Linked DNA regions of Struthio camelus. The protein of the gene in region 1 interacts with the protein of each later gene in a biochemical or structural test. Links are inferred from orthologs where the notes say so. Each region holds a gene or a part of one and is shown on either strand. Other genes may lie near its edges.

Evidence for each region.
Region 2: the proteins of NR4A3 (region 1) and SIX3 form a complex in vitro, tested with the Homo sapiens proteins (3 studies listed by BioGRID). The link is inferred for Struthio camelus from reciprocal best matches to the Homo sapiens genes NR4A3 and SIX3.

Annotation. Positions count from the first base shown.
Region 1 is NC_090943.1:77,431,588-77,438,931, reverse strand, and holds the start of NR4A3 (nuclear receptor subfamily 4 group A member 3), read left to right. Parts: upstream 1-4,136; 5' UTR 4,137-4,587; intron 4,588-7,344. UniProt on the Homo sapiens protein: Transcriptional activator that binds to regulatory elements in promoter regions in a cell- and response element (target)-specific manner.
Region 2 is NC_090944.1:109,687,660-109,694,997, reverse strand, and holds the start of SIX3 (homeobox protein SIX3), read left to right. Parts: upstream 1-4,314; 5' UTR 4,315-4,626; coding exon 4,627-5,393; intron 5,394-7,338. UniProt on the Homo sapiens protein: Transcriptional regulator which can act as both a transcriptional repressor and activator by binding a ATTA homeodomain core recognition sequence on these target genes.

The DNA.
Region 1 (7,344 bases):
ATCCAGAAACCCAAATTCGTCGTTTCACTCTTTGCCTACTTTCAGGGAGAGAAAAGGGAAAGAACACTCTACCTTCAACACGTTCACAGGGCCGCACGTAAAATCTCACCCCTCTCGAGAAAAGGATGCATAGCTTGGGACTGCAGGGCATCGCTTCTGGCCAGTGCGGGGTGAGGGTATTAAAACATTTTCTTGAGGATGGTCGTCTACCAGCTTTCTTAAAGACACAGCCAGAAGAAGATGGGTGCTACCTTCCGGCAATACAATCGTTGGCCAGTTACAACGCTCCGTACAAACCAGAAGATGTGACATTCCCTTCGGAGTCCACATCGACCATTGTCCAAGGGAATGGCCTAAGCATCAGGCTACTGACCGTTTGGGAGGGTATGGAGGGGAAAGGAAACCTTTCCCTTGCTTGGTAGAAGGGATTAATTGGGCAAGAAATTAAGTTCACTTAAGCCCATGACAGTATTTTATACTGTGAGAGTTTAGTAGGAAATACGGACGCCATCCTTGGAGCAGGAACGGCTGCGCAGAGCCCCTCCGCTCCAGCAGATGGCCTGAAGCATTAGACCGCAGTGCTGGCATACAAGCCTGAAAGCGGTTACACCACTTCAAAATGATGAGCGAGGTGCCACCCCGGATGATCCAGGGATTACAGCAGTCTCCTGGGAGGTGGAGAATGTGGGTTGACTCTCCTCTTCTCCACTCTTATCCCCCTACCCCAGACCGCGAAAATTTGAATCTGGACGTCCTGTTTTCTGTGCAAGTGCTGAAATGACCAAGCTATGGTGTATTTAGGGTGCACCAACGGACTTCTCTTTTGGGGTATTCCTAGAAGAGAGCGTTTAGGCAGAGGAACAGCTGGTTTCTACATCCTCGAGAAAGACAGGGAAATTGGTAGGTAATACAGGAGGATACGCTTTGAGCAGGAGGTTAGACTAGATGATCTTCCACACAGCATCTCTATGGCAGTATTGAATTTTAGTGTCTCCAGAGAGACGGCAGCTGGACACGATTTCTGGACTGCAGGTTTTGACTTGGGTATTTAAGTTCTGCAGTAAGTACCTAAAAGCAATGACTTTTTATTATCTTGATTCCAGAAAGTTGTGGCCTGAGGACTGGCCTGGACTTCACAAGCTCTGGTCTTGAAGAAGGCAACTGTAAATTCTGATAAGGAGTTCAGCATTTAGTTATTTGACCATTAACACAAACGCCATGCATGGGAACTGGAAATGAACCCCTCAGCCTCTCCATATTGTTTACTCCCTGTGCGAGTCTGAGCCACCTGCACTTCCCCTACCTTTGGCCTCACACAGAAAACGTCACTTGACAACCTTCCCGCCTCTTTGAGCTTTACTTCTCCCAAAGCTTCCCCCAGATTTTCACAGGCTTCACCTCCTCATTCTCATACACAGCCTCCAGCTCCTAGTTTTTGTCCCGAGTTATCCACAAGGCTTCAGCCACAACATCCTTACGGCGCTCATTTCTGCACTGCTGCTCATGGTCACTCCAGCTGACGGGTACACACACGTAGTAGAAGTTGCCCAGTGTTGATCCTGTGCCCTTACAGCTCCCGGCTCGGTGTTTATCCTTAGCTTGGGAGCTCCTTACCCGAAGGACTTCCTTTTTGCAGGCTCAGAAGCATGCAGCACATAGCGATCTCTCATTTAACACCTCGCTGCGAAATGATCAACAGCGCTCACCCAGGGGGAGAGGGCTGCCTTCGGGAGCCCCCGCGCACTGCGCGGCTCCCCAGGGGCAGACCCAACACCCTGAAGGGCTTAGCGCTCTCAGCGACACTTTCTAACCCTTTTCTCCAAGTATTCCCACATAACGCTGCTTTAAATGCCGCCTCAAGGACTCGTTGAAAGACTTTTAAAACAGTCTTGCTTCTGGTTTGCGATTTGGGGTTCCCCCCGCCCCCTTTAGCCGTCTGGCATAACGACATGTGCAGGCTGTGGGAGACGGGGCAGCTCGAGGGAGCGACGAAGTTGCACCGCGCCGTGGAAGAGTCACGGGATTGGGGGGGGGGGGGCGGACACAGCGGGGCCGATTCTGCCGCCCTCCTCCTGCTACCGTCATTTTGGAGGCTGGTGGCCCATACAGCCCGTGCAGGCGTGCGAGCCGGCCTGACGGGGTTGCTTCACGGCCCGCGGCGGCTCCCCGAGGGGGCGAGCGGCGCTCCGCAGCCCCTTTCCCAGCAGGCAGGCAGAGACGAGAAGAAATGACAGCATGGAAAGCGGAGTGATTTTATCAGGGCCGGTGCTCGGGGTGAGCGGCGGGCGGAAAGTGTCGCCCTGCGCCTTCGCCCTCCGCCGCCCACGGCGGGGGCGGCTTCAAAGGGGATCTCCCCGCGCGCGGCGTGGCCGCGCCGGGCCAGCGCACCGGCCCCTCGCGGCGTTTGCGCCTCTGCCGGCGCTTGCTCAGCAGCCGGGGACTCCCCGCCGGCCGCCGCCGCTGCCATGAGGTCACCGCCGCGCTATGCGCGCCCGCCGCCGCCCCTGCGCCGCTCCGTGACGTCAGGCGGGGGTATCCCCGCCGCCGCCGAGCGGGGCATCCCCGCCGCGGAAACACCGCGCGCGCCCCCACGCGCGGCCCTGCCCGGGGGGGAGGGGGGCGGCCCCCCCCGCGCGAGCGGGGCGCTCGGCCGCCGCTCAGGAGTGCCCGGGGGTGGTGGTGGTGGAGGGGGGGGTTGCAAGGCAAAGGCAAAAAAGGCAGCGCGCTGCCGAGCGGGGGAAGCACCCCGCGGGGGGGTCTGGGGGGACGGGGGCACGGCCGGGCGCACACGGCTGCAGCCGGCGAGCGGGCGGCGCTGCGGGTCGGCTCGGGCCCGGCCCGGCCGGGTGTGCGCGGCGCTGCGCCCCCCGCGCAGAGGGAGCCGCGCGCGCGTGGCCGGGGGGGAGGGGGAGGGGCGCGGCCCCGTGACAATGGGACTCGCTGGCGCTATAAATACCCGCCCGCGTCTATATTTGGCTTGGCCGGATCACAAGCAGGGGGCCCAAAAATAGCCCCGCGCGCCCGCCCCGCCCCGCCCCGCGCCGCCGCCGCCGCCGCCGCCGCTCAATGGGCCGCGGCCGCGGCGGGGCCCCGCCCCCTCCCCCGCGCCGGCCCCGCCGCCCCGCGCAGGGCCAGCGGCTAAATTTAGCAGCGCCGCTTGCGTCAATTACGCGCCTGTCGTGCGTCAGCGCGCTGGGGCCGCCCCCCGGCGCGGGGCCCCGCGCGTCCTGTGCGTGGATTGGCCGCGGCGGCGCGAGGCCGGCGTTCCGCCGTGACGCGGCGCGGCCGGGCCCGGGCGGCGGCGGCGGCGGAGGCGGCGGGTCCGGGTGCCCCGCCGGCCGGGCAGCGGCGGCGGCGGCGGCGGGGGCCCCCGCGTGGCGCCCGCCGGGCCGCGCCGTCGGCGGCCGCCGCCGGGAGTGGAAACGCTGCTCGCAGCTGCGGGAGGCTGGCAGCGCCGGCGTGGTGCCCTCGCGTGCACCTCCACCTCCACTCACGCGTGTGCGTCCACGCGGCTCGAGCGCGAGCAGCAGCGTGGCAGCGGTGCTAACAGTCGCGGCAGCCAGCGGCCCTACTGCAAGCGCCAACAAAGCGAGGGTCGTTCGTTAGAGGCTGCGGCCGCCGGGGGCTCCAGCGCCGCAGGCTCGGGAGCCCCCGACGGAGCCCCAGCGCCGGGAGCCGCGCGGAGCAGCCCCCGCCCCCCCCCCCCCAGCACGGCGCCCGCCACCTGCTCTTTGCTCCTGCGCGCCGCAAAGTCGAAAATAAAAAAAAGTCCCGCTGAAAAAGCCGCTGCTGAGCCAGGCAACGCTCTTTTCCCCCCGTGAGCCGGGCCAGTAAAGAGTTGGCAAGCCCACATCACCGCGCGATCCCTCTTATTGTCATCACTAGTTTTGCAGTTGGGAGCAGCTCGCCCCGCTCCCGCGGCAGCCGGCCCGCTCGCCCCGCTCCCGGCGGCGCGGTGCAGCGCGGCGCAGCGCGGCGGCGGCGGCGGCGGCGGCGGCGCACACACTGGGGCGGGCGGCGGGGCGGGCGGGGGGGGGTCAGTAGCGTCAGGCTCCCATGGCGTCACTATTGACGTTTCGCATTCCAGCCGCTCTATGGAGAGGCCGCTAGGGCTCCTCTCGCATAAATGACGTTCAGAGAGAGGGAGAGGGAGAGCAGCGCGGAGAGGAGGCTCCTTCCTCTCTGGCGGCGCCGCGGAGCACACGCGCTCGCACGGGCACCGGGCACCGGGCTCTCGCCGCGGCCGCGCACACACACACGCACACGCACACACACACACGCACACACACGCACACACACACACGCACACACACGCACACACACGCACACACAAAGGCACGTTGCGGCGGCTCGTCACTGCCTCGCTCGCGCTACTCAGGAGCAGCAGCGGGAACGGGCTCCCGCTTTCTCCAGCTTTTGCCATCCTTTCCCATGACTCGGGATAACGCGTCCTCCAGATCTGCAGCCGCCGAGAACCTCTGGGGTTTCCTTTTTACAATTTTGCCGCTGGACAGCGCCTACATGCACATTTAAGGAAACAAGGCATTTACAAACTAGATGTAAAGACGGAACCTCCACAGCAATCAAGTATGTATATGAACGCGAGAGAGAGAGAGAGAGAGAGGGAAAGAGAGAATGTGATGTGTTTGGACTTGGCAAAAGTTGTGCCGCTGGGGTAGATGCTCGCGACATGACAGCTGTGTGCGAAGAAGCTCGGGGCGGCTCATCCGAGGTGCCGCGGCTCTAGCCGAAACTTTGCCTCCCTTTCTCTCCCGTGTGGATGGTCATTTGCTACTCGGTATCGGAGCCTCCCTCCCAGCGCTGCCCCCTCCCATGCCCATAGCGCGACCGCCGCCGCCGCCGCTCCTCGCCGCCAGCGGAGCTGGGTTTGTGGAATAAAGCCCCGGCCGGTACTAAGGTATTTCTGCTAGTTGTTGTCATGGAAATGATGCTGCCGGCGGCGGCGGGGAGTTTACAGCGCTTGTGATGAATGGCAGTAATTTGTCTTCTTCCTTTAACTGTGCTTGGAAAATAGGTGGTTTTGTTTGCACAAGTTAGAGCTGTCTAATAGGGACGGCGGGGCAGGTTGATCTAATCTCTCTTCAGGAGAGAGCAGACCGTAGGCAGCCTGGAGAGCTTGCTGAAGAGGTAATTGTTGGAATGTGGCATATTGTATTGAAATGAGTCGGGATCTTTGCTAGGCACGTCTGCCCGGCATCTGTTCCTCAGAAATTTGCTCTTTTCCCTTTGGAGGTCAGAAATTGTAATCATAGGCTGTAGTGACCCAGCACGTGTGTTACAGTACAGAGAGGCTTAACTGCACTGTCTGCCCGACTCGCTGTATAAACGTCTCACTTACATTATTGTCTTAATGGCTGGGAAAGAAGTTTCGGTCCTGGAAAGAATCGATAAGGCACTGGCACTCGACTGCGTTATAGTGGGGGCGGTTGTCGCGACTGCGTTATCGCGATAGGTCTTAGGCAGAGGTCTAAGGCGGAGGTGTGGATCGCCTTCCTGACACTAGCTAATAACGCTATTTTTTAACTTGCATTTTTGAAACGATGGATTTCACGCGAGAAAATTTCCCAAAGAAAAGGCTGAAAACGCTGTTTTCTGTCGGGGATTTGTTGCGTTGGGATTCGATGGTTTTTTCCAGGGGAAAAAAAAAAGTTTGGGAATGGATCGCTAACTTTTATCCAACCCACTTCACTTGATTACATTCTTCGCCCTATTTTTCTCTCCTCCGTGGAGACTGTTGTATGTTGGAGTCAGGCCCCGCTAAAACAATGGACTGAAGCAGAGCAGACGGCTTCTTCGGAGGTGAAACTCACCCGAGCTCCTGGATATTTGCTGGAGCGATCGCGTGGCTCGGAGCGATCCCCAAAATCGCGAGCTAACCAGCAGTGGAAATATAGCTTGAAACTTTTAATTGAATGGAGCTTCCCCTTTCGCGGTCCCTCCCGGGTAAATGAAGGTTTCGAAACTCAACTGAAGAAGTCACAATCACAATGGAGTATTTCACGGTTTCCTCCTCATATTACAGGGTGGGGAGGGGTGTCACTCGGGGCTGAATGTAAAGTGCACGGAGGAAGAAAAGAGCTTTGACAAGGGTAGTTATTTCCTCCTAATTTACAGCCCTTAAGGCTCTGTGCTCCTGGCTCAGGCGTCTGCAGTCCGGAGGGGTGTTGCGTGTTTAAAAGCGCAGTGAATGTCTCTAGGTAACCGCCGGCTCAGGGGGAGGAGAGGAGCCCTAGGGCGCTCGGAGCGGTGTGAGAAGCAGCCTCGCAGGAGCTTGGCCCCAGAGCAGGGAGGGAACAAAACCAGCGGGAGAGAAGGAGATGAGCTAACAGTCATTTCACATCCCCGAGCCGCGGCGGGATTCAGAGGCAGGGGGCAAGGGGAAGCCGCAGAGCGCGACGGAGCTGTTGGCGCTCCCCGGGAGAGCTCCCGGCGCAGCCCCCGCCGGCCCCGGCATCCCCGGTATCCCCGGGAGCGCGGCGGCCCCGGGGCCGGGACTCACCGCTTCTGCGGCGCGGGCGGCCCGGAGCGCGGCCGCGGCGGGGCTCCGCGACCGGCCCGCGCTCCCTCCCGCCTGGCCTGCGCTGAGGTGCCAAGCGGTGCGGGGGGCACAGCCGCCCCGGGGCCGGGGCCGGGGCCGGGGCCGGGGCGGCGCCGTCGCGGGGGGCAGGGGTGCAAGCCCGGGAGGCTGGCCGCATTGGCAGGAAACCCCTCAAGCCCTGGCCCTCCGGCCGGTCACCACCTTGCTCAAAAACTTCCAGCCTGCTTCTGACGGCTCCCCCCCCCCATCACCCCCCCGCCCCGGCCGAAAAGGAAACTTCCTGCTCCGCGGGCGGCCACGCTGCCAAGGAGCGCGCCGCATCAATGGATGCGCGGGCGACTTGGCGGAGATGCTGCCTCTTTGCTGGAGTCAGCCCTGCCCCGGGGCCGGTTCTCCCCTTGCCTTCCCCCTGCCCCGCGCTCCTCACCAGAAAAACAAGCAAGCAAGCAAGAGCACGGCACCTCCGCTTGCCCTGTCCTTTTTTCCCAGCCCGGTGCCTTCTCCCTTTTGTGCGACGGGGGAGAGAGAGCGCGGGGCTGGCAGAAAAGGCGCTTCCCAACCGGCCCCTCTCTTTTCTCCCTTGGAGCAAGGTGGGGGCTTGCCGAGCCGCGAGGGGGGAAGGAGGCGCGGCCGCCGCTGCCCTGCTGCCCCGGTCCCGCCGCAGCACCCTGCCAGGCGCAGAGGGAAAGGGGGCGCATTTCCCCCCCCCCCCGCCGCCCCCGCAGCGCGGCCCCGGCTCGCCGCCAGGCGCGGGGACCGCGCCCGCTGCCCGGGTGGCCACCGGC
Region 2 (7,338 bases), on another chromosome or scaffold:
GAATCCGAAAAGTTTAACCTAAGAGCTGGAACACTGTTTTGGACCAGTAATAAAATACCCCCTCCGCTTCTTAGACCGGTCTAAACCGTTAAAAAATCACTTTCCCTCATGTTTCTTAGCACAACCTGTACAGCGAGCATTGCATCAATAGGACTGGATTACGGGAGCCGAATGGGCCAGATCTTACACACCCATCAAAAGCATATTCATTTATCCTGAGAAACAGTGACAGAAAAAAGAGGAGAGAAAGAAAGAGAAGGAAGGAGCTGGATAGATGTGTTTTTAAAGACGGCAGCTGTACAAAATTGTCAGCGCTTGCCAATGAAGAATGACAAAAATTCAATTATATCATAATAAAAAAAAAAGAGAGAGAGAGAGAGAGAGAGACGAACGCGACGGGTTCTCCTTCACCTGCCCTCATCTCTCCCTGTCTCCCCCCTCGCCGTTGCCCACGCTGCCGCCGCCGCCGCCGCGCCGCGTTTCCCGCTCGCCAGTACCGCGGCGGGCGCACCGCTACGCCCCAGCCCCGTCTGCGCCCCGGCCTCCCCCGATAAAAAATAATCAGCTCTCGCAAGCGTCGCCTGAGTCACTCCCGAGTCAGGATTAAGGGGCACTAACTAGGCAGCAGAAAATCGCAGCCTCCTGGGAGCTACCATCAAAACAAGCAGTGAAATAAAAGAGCTTCCCTCTCTGCTTCCTTTCCTCTCCCAGGAAAAGTCCTCCAGGTTGGCAGCCAGATACACACACACGCACACACACACAGAGACAGGTGCAACTTTGCAGGGCTCCGTTCAGAAAAGAACATAGGGTTGTCCCGGTTTATTTAGGGGGAGGTTTTTTTTTGGTATGAGGTTGCCGGATTTTTTTTTTTCTTTTGCTCCCCTGCCCTGCAGAGCCACATGTCATTCTAGCAGCTAAAACAATGAATCATGTGGGATCAAGTAAGAGTGACTGGAAATGGACCGCAGATTTCCCCAGCCCGGAGAAGAAGGCTATCAGCAGCGAGGAGGATGCCGCTTGTCATCACCTCGGACCCCCCAAGCCCCACGCACGACGGTGGGAGAGGGCCGGGGCGGGGGGCGCAGAGCTGCGCGGCCCCGGGAGCCTCCCCGCGGGACCTGAGCGTGCCGAGAAGAAACTTACAGGATCCGGAAAGGATTTCCCCAGCCGAGAGGGCAGTGTCTCCCCGCCGCCTCCGCCGGCGTGCTCCCGCTGCCGCCGCCCGCGCCCGGCTCCGCGCCCGGCTCCGCGCTGCCCTGCGCGCCGGGGGCTGCCGCCTGCGCCCGCCCGGCTGCGGCGCGGCGCCCGCCGGGTCCGGGCTCGGCATTAGCCGATCCCATTGACAGTTTGCAGCCAGCAGCTGCAGTCATTAAAAGCCATTTACACCCTGGCCTCCTCACACAAAGCTGGAGCGCCGGCAATTATCTGCTTGTACATTTCGGGACACGGGGAGCGCGTCCCTCGCTGGCGGGCGGAGGGCAGCGCCGAGGCACCGGCGGGCCGGCAGAGGCAGGAGCCGCTGCCGGAGCGGCTGCCGCCGCCGCCGTGCCGCGGGGACCCGCGCCCACCCGCCGCCTGGGCGAGCTCAAGCCTTTTAGGCTCTTGGCTTCGCCCCTGCAAGAGCTGGCGGCAGCCGTCGCTCTGGGGCTGGAGGTCCATGTGCAGAGAGAGAAGAGCAGAGCTTTATTAAGACCCTGATACTAGCTGATAGGCACATCGGGGTCGTGGGTTTGTTTGGCTTTAAACACACAGGCACACGCACACGCATGCATACACACGCACGCAGGGTACTCGTGCACTGAAATTCCCTCCAGAACACGCGTTTTGAAAGAAACATTTTCCGCAGATACGCGGCTTGTACGTTTCTGGGATAGAAGGAAAGAAAGAAAAAAGGAAGGAAGGAAATAGAAAGAGAGAAAGAAAGAAAAAAGAAAGAGAGAGAGAAAGAAAGAAAGAATCTGCTCTGTACATATTTTGAAGCTTTATAAACTTCATCAGGAATTCTAACAGAGGGAAGCAACCTATAAGCAAATGAACAGAGTATGATTGTCTGGGAGATTAAAAAAAAAAGCCCATATGGATTTGATTCTAGAAATATACATTAGGGGAGTTTAATTTGCAGCTTGACGAAAAATGGAATCAAATATTAAGAAACTCCCGCAGGAATTCCTCCACCCTCCCCTCTGTAATCCTTTACATAAAAGGAAAGGATTACAAAGAAAAAGATTTTGTGTGTGTGTGTATTAAAATCTTGGGCTAAACATATTGTTGTCCAATTAATACCTCCAAGTCGATTTGTATTGGGGCTGAGCAGCCTCTTTTCCTCCTTAGCTGTGCAACAGGAAATATGAGCCACGGAGGGAGGGAGGAAAAAAAAAGTTTACCCCAAGTCTGTTAACAGAAGTGTTTCGGCAGATCACTAAAAATTAAGAGGGCGAGTTATTTCCATTACGAATATGAACCAATGTAGTACACCGATGACAGTTTAGTGGAAATCAGATGAATGTGTAATACAGCGAGCTTCTTCCAGTCCAGCAGCTCTTCCAACTGGACCTATTCATCTGCCACTTGGAATTATTTCACGAGGAGTGCGCTGTGAAAGGATCACAACCAGTTTGGAGCCCAGCTAAAGAACTTCTACCACCCATAGCAGTATTATTATTATCCTTCGGATAGGGCAAGTCACGCTATGTTTTCACATTTTAATTGTAATATCTCTCTTCCTCCCCTCCTCCTTCCCTCCATTGATGTCTGAAAGTAGTTTGGGCTCCAAGCCTCACCCCTCGATCTCCATCGGAATGCAGAAAAGATCTTTAAAAAAGTTTTGAATTCCTCAATGATTTTTCTTCTAGAAAGGCGGCTTAGGATAATTATTTCAGCTTTATTGAGGGCAGATTAGTTGAAGTCTGGATGCTGCGTTTCAATACTCGTTGTACATGCCTTTACAATGTCGGTATTGTTTGCTACTGTGTGTGAACCTATTCAAAATATACACTTTTTAACACCAAGCAAAGTCCTGTCTAAATATACACAGTAAGTCTGGAAAGATGTCCATGACCCGTACAAATCTCTGTAAATCACACTTCCATAGCTACAGAAACTAAACAAAAGAGTTACCAGCTCAAGATGCTGATTAAATCTTCTTAAAAGCAACATACCTAATAATAAATATAGTGGCGTGGTAGCGAGGTCTGGCGACCTCGCTAGCTCTTACTGAGGGATGGACCCCAAACACCACACAGATTTTCTTTGCTCCCAATTAAAAAATAATAATAACTACGAGGAAAATAGGCGTGGGTTTAGACCCGCTTTCGCTCGCCCCCCCCCCCTTTGCCCGTCGGCCGGCGAGGGAGGTGGGGGGCCGCAGCGGCCGGGGACGGCGCGGGCCAGGGTACAGCCGCGGCCGGGCCGGGGTGAGACCTGCCTCGGAGGAAAGAAAGGGGCGACAGGAGGTGAGGCGAGGGGGAGGAGGGAAGGCAGCGGGAGAGAGAAGCGCAGTGGAAAGGCGAAAGAGCAGGGAGAGGGAAGCGGAAGCGGCGCGGGGCCGGGGCGGCGGCGGGAGCGGGAGCGGCCGGGGCTTGGCAGCCCCGCCGCGCCCGCCCGGCCGCCCTGCGCGGCGCCCCGCGCAGCCCCGCGCAGCTCCTCGTCCGGCAGGTACCTCCTTCGGCGGAGGGCACAGGGAGCCAGGGCTAAACCCGGGCTGCACTGTATGTGCTCGCTTCTGGGAGGGTCACCGGCATGAGGATGGGTCTAATGATCTCATCTTTCTTTTCTTCCCCGGCACTATTAGTGCTCAGATAGGCAGAATGAAGTGAAACTACGTGCAAATCATGTGTAAATTGTCTCAGTTAGGAGCCCTTTATCCGAACGTGTATCCCAGCCTGGCCCATTTACTTTCCCCCCATATCTCCTTTAGCTTTAACGAGGCTCGTTAAGATCACAATAATATTCCACCCTCTAATTGCTCATCCCATTCAACAAATATGTGCACACTGCTTTTCGCATTATTTGATCCCTTATTTAGGAGGGGTGTGGAGAGGGAGGGGGGAGAGACAGGGAGAAGGGGAAGTGCTGAGATTAGGAGTTGCAAAGATTAAAAAAAAAAAAAAACCACGCTTTTCCACCAACCACCCTGCTTCCCTCCCCCCCGTGCATTTGGGCGAAGTGGTAAAAACCTTTCTTACGTACTCAGTAATGATTGGCAGGGCTGACAGTGATTGGCAGGGGGTGCCATGGCAACGCCACAACGACACTCAGAAGACCAATAGAAAAGCGAAACAAAATGTTTCAGTGCTGCACTCACTGTGGATTTAGGGGAGATATTATGAGGCTGTTGTCATTAGGGCGATTGCTGTTGAATCACTGAATCCTGACTCGGCGGCGGCGCGGGGCCGGGTGTGTGTGAGTGTGTGTGTGCGTGTGCGTGCGTGTGTGTGCGTGTGTGTGTGTGTGTGCGTGTAAGCGTGTGTGCGTGTGTGTGCATGTGTGTGTGCTCCCGTGCCTCTATGTGGCTGTGTGTGCTTGTGCGGGTGTGGATGCGTGCGCGGTGCGTGTGCCCTTTCCTCCCTTCTTCCTCCCTTTCTTTCTTTTCTCCTTGATTCATCTCCCCCTCTCCCCGGTCATCCCATGGTGTTCAGGTCCCCGCTAGAGCTTTATCCCACCCATTTCTTCCTGCCAAACTTCGCCGCCGACCCGCACCACCGCTCCCTCCTTCTCGCCAGCGGCGGCGGCGGCGGCGGCAGCGGCAGCGGCTCGGGCTGCAGCCCCGGGGCCGGCGGCGGCGGAGGCGGCAGCTCCCGGGCACCCCACGAAGAGTTGTCAATGTTTCAGCTGCCCACACTCAACTTCTCCCCGGAGCAAGTGGCCAGCGTCTGCGAGACGCTGGAGGAGACCGGAGACATAGAGAGGCTGGGGAGGTTCCTCTGGTCGCTGCCGGTGGCACCGGGGGCATGCGAGGCCATCAACAAGCACGAATCCATCCTGCGGGCCCGGGCCGTGGTCGCCTTCCACACGGGCAACTTCCGAGACCTCTACCACATCCTGGAGAACCACAAATTCACCAAGGAGTCCCACGGCAAGTTGCAGGCCATGTGGCTCGAAGCGCACTACCAGGAGGCCGAGAAGCTAAGGGGTCGCCCGCTGGGGCCGGTTGATAAATACAGGGTGAGGAAGAAGTTTCCGCTGCCCAGGACCATTTGGGATGGAGAGCAGAAGACGCACTGCTTCAAGGAGAGGACTCGCAGCCTCCTGAGGGAGTGGTACCTGCAGGACCCTTACCCCAACCCCAGCAAGAAAAGGGAACTGGCTCAGGCCACGGGGCTCACCCCCACGCAAGTAGGCAACTGGTTCAAAAACCGAAGGCAGAGAGACAGAGCAGCGGCGGCTAAAAACAGGTCAGTGGGGGCTGCGGGGCCCCGCTGGGGCAGCGGGAGCGGCGGGGACCGGCGGTGCGGCCGCCGAGCCGGCAGAGCGCGTTCGCCTGCCCTCTTCCTCCTCCTCTTCCTCCTCTTCCTGGCCGCCGCCAAGGGCAGCCGGTGCCCCCGGCAGGGCGCAGCTCTCCGCGGCAGCGCAGCGATGCGGCAGGGGCGGGCGCGGGACAAAGTTTCGCGGCGCGGCCCGAGCCCTGCTCGGGTCCCCACGGGCGGCCGGGGCGCGGGCAGGGCTGGACGCACCCCGCGGCCGCGGGCACCTCGGCGTGTCTGTGTGGTTGTGTACGGCTGTGTGGCTCGGGGCAAGCGGGTCCCCCCCGGCGGGGCAGAGCCCGGCCCTCCCTTCCCTCTCCCCGGGGGTCGCGTCCTGCTCCCCCAGGAGCCGGCGGCCGGCGCGGCTCCGGTTTGGTTTTGGTTTCGCGGGATTTGCGCCGCTCGGGCGCGGCTCCCCCCGCCGCAGAGCTGAGCCCGGCGGTGCGATTGCGAGCGGGGCTCTGCGGAGCAGGCAGCGCCTCTGCAATTGTTCGTATCCCTCTGCACGCACCGGGGGAAGAGCGCACCCCCCCCCCCCACAACCCCAGACCCGTTTATCTCGGCAGGGAAAATGGAGAAAAGCCTTTCAGAGATCGGAAAACCTCTCCTTTCCCTTCCCCGTCCCTCTGTTTACACCACATGGCGACCTGGCCCTGTGGTCGTGTGCTCCCTAGGCGTTTACGCTTGCATTCATTTGTCTGTCTCTCGATGCTTTTTGTTATTATTCCTATTTCTGATTTGCCGTGGTAAAAGCGAGCCTTCCTCCCTTTTTTCTCGCCACCCTCCGTAAAAGTTATTTTGCAATTGAAAATGGGCCCTTAATCCCGCTTGACGGACTGTTTTAATTTTAATTTAAGTTCGGCTACCACTGGAAGCGTGTAAACAAAACTTCTTTTTCTTTTAAATGCTGTCTCCCAAATTCCTCCTAATTATAGCACTGGTGCTATTGATTCAAGATTCTGTAGGAGAAATGAAACCTGAAAGTGCCTCGCCATTTAATTTCCATTAAATGGAAAACAGATCAGCCTAGGACTGTAAATAAACAGAAGTTGCCTACGGATGCTTTTGTTGACTCAACGCTGTTGACAGCACATGAATGCACCCGGAATTGTAAATGGGAGAAAAATCAAAGACGCTGAAATCAGACAACTTAAAATAATGGGAAATGTAGAATAAAATGGCTATCTTTTTCTGCTTGCCGTACGCAGTGAAATAGAAGATAACCCGGTGAGAATCAGTTGGGAGAGGAGTGCATTTTGATTCACAGTGGTGGTGTTGGGTGCTCTAGGTTGTGTCTGTTTGTTCAGTCCAGGACTTTTAGCCCCTTCCCCTAATCCTTGAATTACGCTTCCACTGTGTTTTGAACAGAATAAACGGGTACAGAGGAATATTCACAAGATGACCGTGAAATCGAAAATTATTTATTGCCTCTTTGGAAAAAAATGTACCACAGCAATATATCCTCAAGTGTTGACACTGAAAGGACAAGCACTTGAAAGCTTATTTTGGCTTTCAGTTGGGAAAGGGACTTAAATTTAGAGCGGAGAGAAATGTTGTGTTCCACAATCGTCCTTTTTTATTTTATCCATAGCGTTGCGTCCCCGGGACACTAGCTTACCCCAGTCCTGCCGCAGCCCCCAAGGTAAATCTCTGTCCACCGGGAAATATTTAGATACCTATTCGCCAGAGCAGCGAAGTCAGGACCCGGCGCAATGCTCCCCTGCTGAGGACAGGGCTTTGTAGCGCGTTCCGCAGTGGCTGCGCGCTTCAGGAGCTCGCAAATATTGCCTTATTTCCTAGCAGGCCGGCGGTTCTCTGGGCTCTGCGGCGGGAAGAGGGATTACCGTGGGGAAGGAGAAATGGCCAGGCGTGTAGT